Linked DNA regions of Mus musculus. The protein of the gene in region 1 purifies or fractionates together with the protein of each later gene. This does not show direct contact. Links are inferred from orthologs where the notes say so. Each region holds a gene or a part of one and is shown on either strand. Other genes may lie near its edges.

Region 1 (3,600 bases):
CATTCCTCCTTGTCTGAGAAATACCACATTCAGACTATTAATCAGCTTACACATTTAATGAAGGATTTTGGCAACCTCGGGGTTGTCGTTCCATTTACAAGCTCCCCTGGTATTCTCCTGCACCAGTGCAGATGCAGCAGCAGGAATTCAGCTTCAGTCCTGCTTGCAGACGGCAGGCTTGCTTTCTGATTGTCCATGACTCTCAGTCGTGCTGTTATGGTCTAGATTCTCTATCACTGGTGGGCCTCGAGGTCTTTACGTCTGCAGGACTACCGGGCACATGTCCATTTGACTTTAGGCATCTGTAGGACAATCCGAGTTAGGATTCGAAGCAGCGTAGCGTCCTGGAGATGACTCGTGACTGCTGAGGTCGGTGTAGATCACTGAAGGGACGGGTACGTGACCTCGGCCCGGGAGGGTCCAGTCCGTGCTTACGCTTTGGCGCCCGGACCCTTCTGCTGCCCTGGACGGTCCCGGACGCCACGGCGGAGTTCCTCGGTGAAAGTGTCCTTGAACCTCACGACGCGGCGACGCAGGGCACCGGGCGGCTGATCCGCGAGGGCGCGCAGGCGGCGGGCTGCATCGTGGCCGCGCAGCTGTAGCTGTAGCAGCGCGAAGGCTGTGAGCTGCGCCGCCCGCCGGATGGGCCGCGACTCGGACAGCCGCTCCACCAGCTGCGGGTTGTGCAGCAGGGCCGCCAGCAGCCGCCGGAAGACCATGGCTCTCCCCGCGCCACGGAACCCGACGCTCGCTGCCTTCGCCTTCCGGACGGCCACGCCCGACGACGGACTAGCCGGCGCTGTATGATGACGACACGGCTCGCCCCGTGGTTCTGGAGCACGCCGCCCGCATTTCCGTTTCCGCCGCCCGCCGCTTGGTTCTCCCGGCCGTGGCCGTGTCGGGTTTGGTGTTTCTGCATCATGTCGGGTGGCTTACTGAAGGCGCTGCGCAGCGACTCCTACGTGGAACTCAGCGAGTACCGGGACCAGCACTTTCGGGTGAGGCGGGCCAGGCCGGACCGGGCCACGAGATGGGGAGCCTTTGGGCTCTAAGAAACGGAGAAACGGTTTACACTTGTCTTACTATGTCTTCCCTCCTGATCTCCTGGGGCCCAAAATGCGAAGGGGTTCCGAGCGGGGCATGAATGTCACCGAAGCCACTTTATCTCCCAGGGCATCTAACACTTTATTTCACAGGTCCTTGCAGCACCCGGGGAGATGTGGCGGTGGCCCCTGTTTGATGGGCTTGTCTTGCTTGGGAAAGGGACTGTAATGAGGAGGGATCCCTGTGGCGACTGACCAGACACTAGAGCGGGTTTTGTTTTTAGTAAGCTAAACACTGCCCTTTGGTACTTCGTTCCTTTCTGCTGTAAGACAGCCCTACAAAAAGTTGGCAGTAAGTGGGAGACTTAGAGTTGGGTTCCCGTTTGTGGCTGTCTGACGGGCATCGGGACAAGTCACACGAGTCGCCTTAAGATTGTTTGGATGACAAAATCTAGTACAGCCAGTGGCTGAAGAGAAGCTCTGTCTCGAAAAACAAACAAACAGAAACAAAAAGAAATTTAGCCTAATTTTAAAATGTTTGCTGTGTGTCTGCTAAGAGTTTCACGTCTACAGTTCTCATTGCTTTGAACAGGTCCACATCAAAACTAACCAGTTTGAATTTAAAGCACACTGAAAGATTAAAACTAGGGGAGGAGTCATTCATTTGCTGTCAAAAGCCTGTAACTCGGGGCTGGAGAGATGACTCAGTGGTTAAGAGCACTGTCTGCTTTTCCAGAGGTCCCGAGTTCAGTTCCCAGCAACCACATGGTGGCTCACAACCATCTGTAATGGGACCTGATGCCCTCTTCTGGTGTGTCTGACGACAGCTACAATGTACTCATATACATAGAAAGCCCGTAATTCTCTTCAGATAGTAATAGTTTGTGTCATGTGCATTTTCTAGTGTATTCTAAATGCAGTGTGTCAGTGCATTGTTAAGTGTGAAATTAAGTTACAGTGAAGTTATCGACTCTGCGTTTTACAGAGTTGCAGTACAAACTGCACCTGATAGCCAAGTGTGGTGCTGGACATCTGTAGTCCTAGTAGAAATATCGTAAGGTTGAGATCAGCCTGCACAGGTAAAAAGCAGATGTTTCCTCTAAAGTTCTAAAACCTTGTTTTTGTTTGTTTTTAACACAGTGTCTGTTGGTCCATAGACTTCACCTGTTCAGTCCTGTAACAGTCTTAAGACAGTGTGGCAGTGGGAATAAGACCAGAGGTTTTTAAAATTTTTATTTTATTATAATGTTGTTGTTGTTTGAGACAAGGTTTTACTATATTGCCTTGGCTGACCTGGAACTCACCATGTAAAACAGGCTGGCTTTGAACTGACCAGAGGTCCACCTGCTTCTGCTGGGATTAAAGGAGTGCACTGTTGCGGCCACCAGCAGCTCGCAACATGAACGGTTCGACTGATATGGCTACTCAAGCTGTAAGAGAGGAATCTAGACGGCCGCAACAGTGCACCACCATGCTTAGCTCGATACTGAGTTTGAATTCTGGCTGAAGCTACTATATAGTGTTTCATCCTAGGAGACTCAATTGTTTTTCCTCATGTGTAAAATGGGAATGATATATCAGGGCCTACCTCATAACATTCCTTAGAATGAAATAAAACTCTCAGATCTGCAGTCCTTTGAGCTTCCCCAGGGGCAGACAGAAATACTATTTTCTTGTGTATAGCTGCATGTTCTTGGTTTTTAAAACTGTAACTTGGAGCGCTAGAGAGCTGGCTCAGAAGTTAGCACAGGCTGTTCTGCAGGACTTGGAGCCAATTCCCAGCACCCAGATGATGTCTCGAAACATCTATAACTCCAGTGCCAGGAGATTTGATACCCTATTCTGGTTTCCGAAAGCACTGGGCTGGCACATGGTGCACAGACATGCAGGGTGCGGGCAAAACACCCATACACATAAAATACTAAACTCAAACCAAAAAAACTGTAACTTGGGAGATGGGTGTGATGGCCCATGCCTGTTATCAAGGCATTTGAGGGAGATGGTAGTAAGACTATCAGGAATTTGAAAGCAGCTTGGACTATGTGGTCCTGTCTCAAAACAAAAACAAAAAACCCAAAACCCAGAACAGAACAGTTGGGCTGAGTAGACATAGCTCAGTAGGTAGAATGCTTGCCTTGCATGTGTGAAACCCTTGGGTGGATCTTGAGCTGTACATAAACCCAGAGTGGTGGCGAACGCCTGTAACCCCAGTACTTGGAAGGTAGAGGTAGGAGGATCAGAAGTTCGATGTCACCCTTGGTTAACATAGCAGGTTCAGTGCAACCAAAGCTACATGAAATCCTGTCTCAAAAATCAGAGGCTGGAGAGATGGCTCAAGTACTACTCTACCAGAGGACCCCCGTTCAGTTCCTAGCGAATTGGGTATCTTACAACCAGTTTCAAGGATCCTGATACCTCTGGCCACCAAGGGCTTACTACATTCTGGTGTGCACCGCCCCCCCCCCCCCCCACACACACACAAAGAGAAATGAACTAACTTAAAAAATAAAACCACAGAGCTGGGGATATGGTTCAGTGGTTAAGTCCACATGCTACT
Region 2 (3,728 bases), on another chromosome or scaffold:
TTTCCCTGGTAGTTTGAGAAAGAGCAGTAAGAGAGGACGGTCTCCACCATCTGAGTACTTTCAAGCTCTCTAGTCTAATGCTCCTCTGCCAAGGCAGGCAGGTCACACCGCTCCACCTCTGCTCAGCACAGACTGTACTGCTGCAAGTGTGGAAACAGGGAGGGAGATCTTGTTTAACCACCTACACGTAGTGAGATAGATGGCAGGGTAGGTGTGGAGTACCCATGCTGAGTTCTAAAAACAAATTAATCAGGAGCGAAAAACTATTGTAATTTCTTTTTCCTTTTTTTGCAAGATAAAAGTAGTATTGTAGGTGAGTACTAGCAGCCATTCAAAGAAGCAAATAATTCCAGTTTGTTAAATGATTTCAGATGTAAGAAAAGAAGACACACTTCCCAGTTCCTTATGAAACAAGAAAAAAAAAACACCATCAGAGCATCAAATGATGCTTGTCATCCAGTTCCACTTGGGGAAAGAGAAGAACATTTTAAATAAAATCTTAATAAACTGAGTCCAATAATACATAATTTAGAAAAATTTTGGAATGTTTGTCCTTGAATTAAAAGGGTAGTTTAATGTTGAAAAATGGGTTATTTCATCCCCATTTGCAGAGGAAAGTGGGAAGTTGATAAAAGAGGAACATAATTTGGTAAAACTAAATATTCTCTCATGAATGAAAGGAAACCTAACAAGTTAGATATAGAAAGGTTCTTTCTGCTCTGTATGGTGGCATGTGCTTTTATCCTGGCACTCTGAAGGCAGAGGCAGCCACATCTCCTTGAGTTTGGGGCCAGTCTGGTATGCATAGCAAGTTAAACAGACCTATTGGGGGGTCTACTTACTCTACCTAGTGAGACACTGTCTCTCAAAATAAAATATCAGAAATGATCTTCCAAACTAGACAAGAGCATACTTAGCTGTATAACACATGGCTGTAGATAATGTCCAAGTACTGACCTAAGAGTGGGGAATGTATGTCTATACCTGGAAGAGCAGGAGTAATGGATAAGATTCCTGAAAGGCTTTGGAAGCGTAACTTTTCAGGTGCTAAGAAGCTGGACTAAACCAGCATGAAAATAGAAGGGATCAAGGTTAAAATAGTTTGGGGAAGAGGTATTATCTTAAGGTTTCTAACCACATGACTGAAACAGCCTGAGAGAAAGAGTTTATTTCATCTTCTAGCTTGCGTAGTCAATTATCTAGGGAAGTCATTAGGAACTGAAATGGAGGCCATAGAAGAGTGTTGCTTACTTACTGGTGTGTACCTTGTGGCTTGCTATCCTGCTTCCTTACAGTACCTGAGACCACCAACCCATGGGTAACATTTCTAGTGTTACCTAGACCCTCTGAAATTAACCATTAATCAAGACAGTGCCCCATAGTCTTGTCTCTAGACAAATCTCACGGAGGTATTTTCTTAACTGAGAGTTCCTGTAGTTTGTATCAAGTTGACAAAAAACTAGCTGGGGTTATAGTTGTACTGAAAGTTGATTTGTTTAAAGTTTTAAATGGAATAAGTTGTTAGCTTTTTGGAAACAATCTCAGATTTGTAGTTTGAAAGTTAAAGTTCAAAGAATAATACAAAACCACTGTGTATATCCTTGTGGCACCTAGTTTCTTTGGATTGTTAGCATTTTCGATATTTGCTTTATTTTCTTTTTAATTTATATGTTAACTCACAGTCATTTTCCTTTATGCCAGCTCTAGTAGGGTTTCCTATTGCCTTTAGTATATCAACTCATATTTCATAAAAAAGAGACTTATGTAATAGCACACTTACAAGATTAATGAGGATTATGTCTAATCAGTAGAGTCAACTTGTAATTTGCAAAGTCTAAGTCAAAAAGAGCCCATCCAAGATAGGTCCTGCATTTTTTTATGGTACTCTTTTTCAGTCTTTCTCATCATTAGTGACTGTATCTTTGAAGCATACAGGCTTTTTTTTTTTTTTTTTTTTTTTAAACCCTCGAAATGATAGATTAGGGTTAGTCTGATTTTTAGTAAGCAGTGCCAAAGGGATAGGGAGCACACAGTTAATTTGTCCTTTATTAATGGTAGTATATTTTGTCAGTTGGCCAGGAATGCCATCTGAAGGCTACATGTATGGCTTAGTGGTAGAGTGTTTGCCTAGCATTTGCAAAGCCCCAGGTTCAGTCCCTGGTAACCATCTCATAACAAAACAAAAATCAGACAGTGCCATCTACCATTTTTTTGTCACTGTATGTTAGCATGTGAGCATGTATTCTGTGTGAGGCCACTTGGGATTTATAAATATCAGTGGTGTTGCCATCTATGAAATATTGTAGTTTAATATATAACTAGGGTTGGTGATTTGTGTAGTTACTAAGAAAGAATGATGTTATAAAAGTGGGAATGTGCTAATGACTATATAAATGTCATTGTGTTTAAATGTGCTGGCTTATACACAGAATAAAAGTTGATGGTATGCACATGTGTGTGCAGTTTTCATTTTTTTAAATCCTAATTTTGCCATGAATATTGAGGCCTCTTTTAATAACTGCTATAATCAAATACATTCACAAATATTGGGCCACAAAATTACATTCAAATTTTAAGTTGAAAGGTTACTTGCTTTTAAATAATAATTTAAATAGCATAGTTAGCATTCTGAACAATTTGAGTGTCATAAAATGGAAGATGGGATGAATTCTTGTTTGTGAAATTCATGTACCAAGAGTTTAATCTGGGCTGGCAAGATGGTCAGGTAGTAAGCATACTTGCAGCTACTGGAGCACAAGTCTGACTATCTGGATCTCGTAATTGGAGAAGAGAGCCAAATTCCCAAAGTTTTTCTCTGACCTCTTCCATCTATGCAGTGTGCCTCATGCCCCTAATAGTAAAGATGCTGATGATAGTAGTAGTAGAAGAAGATAAATAAAAGTTTAGTCTGAAATGGTGCTAATTTAAGTGACATTTAATATATTTTTACTCCTCATACCCTCAACTTGGAGTGAGGCATTGCTATGTGTCCTTAAGCTGTTCTTATTGTCTTCTTAATAACTTCAGGCAGCTATTAGCAGTAGGTAGGTAGAAACTGCTTTACTGTACCCCAGGTAAACCCTTATAGTGTTGGTCAGGACAGGTGGTACTTAGTGAACTGGGGGTGGGATGACACAAAAGCAGTGGGGCTAAACCAGGCCATTGTTCATTTTGGCACCAAAGGCAGCTTCATTTTAACAACAGCCTTCATGAGTTCTTAAGCTTTCATTGATTGTCTTTCAGAACAAAAGAGACGAACACTTACTGAAAAAGAGAAATGTTCCCCAAGAAGAAAGCTTAGAAGATTCAGATGTTGATGCTGATTTTAAAGCAGTAAGTTGCCTGTGTGTTTATAATGTACCTCTAAATATTTTTGTTATAAAAAGGGGAGCATTAGTTTAAATTTAAGAAAAAAAAGATAATAGTGATAACAAGGCATGTTAAATCATTACCTGATAGACTAATAGTTTTGTTAATATTCTCTGCTGAACTATCTTTCTTTCTTTTTAAGCAAAATGTAACACTAGAAGCTATATTACAGGTATGTTATTAATTTAATACTGTCATTCTGAAATGTTTTGAAATAGTTTCTTTTTTTCTTCTTTTAAATGTCTGAAATATACACTTGTTGTTGCAGAATGCCACAAGTGATAATCCTGTAGTCCAGTTGAGTGCTGTGCAGGCAGCAAGGTAAGAGAAAGCTGCACCTCCCTGGGATGGCACAGCTT

Evidence for each region. Proteins that work in one complex are often made in the same cells at the same time.
Region 2: the proteins of Ncbp2 (region 1) and Kpna3 purify together in Homo sapiens (co-immunoprecipitation; 3 studies listed by BioGRID and IntAct, with this or other methods). This does not show direct contact. The link is inferred for Mus musculus from reciprocal best matches to the Homo sapiens genes NCBP2 and KPNA3.

What each region holds. Positions count from the first base shown.
Region 1 is NC_000082.6:31,947,730-31,951,329, forward strand, and holds the start of Ncbp2 (nuclear cap-binding protein subunit 2), read left to right. Parts: upstream 1-816; 5' UTR 817-920; coding exon 921-998; intron 999-3,600. Other genes in the region: 0610012G03Rik (hypothetical protein LOC106264), read right to left, coding at 432-719. UniProt on the Homo sapiens protein: Component of the cap-binding complex (CBC), which binds co-transcriptionally to the 5' cap of pre-mRNAs and is involved in various processes such as pre-mRNA splicing, translation regulation, nonsense-mediated mRNA decay, RNA-mediated gene silencing (RNAi) by microRNAs (miRNAs) and mRNA export.
Region 2 is NC_000080.6:61,391,361-61,395,088, reverse strand, and holds part of Kpna3 (importin subunit alpha-4), read left to right. Parts: intron 1-3,243; coding exon 3,244-3,333; intron 3,334-3,511; coding exon 3,512-3,541; intron 3,542-3,637; coding exon 3,638-3,690; intron 3,691-3,728. UniProt on the Homo sapiens protein: Functions in nuclear protein import as an adapter protein for nuclear receptor KPNB1. Binds specifically and directly to substrates containing either a simple or bipartite NLS motif.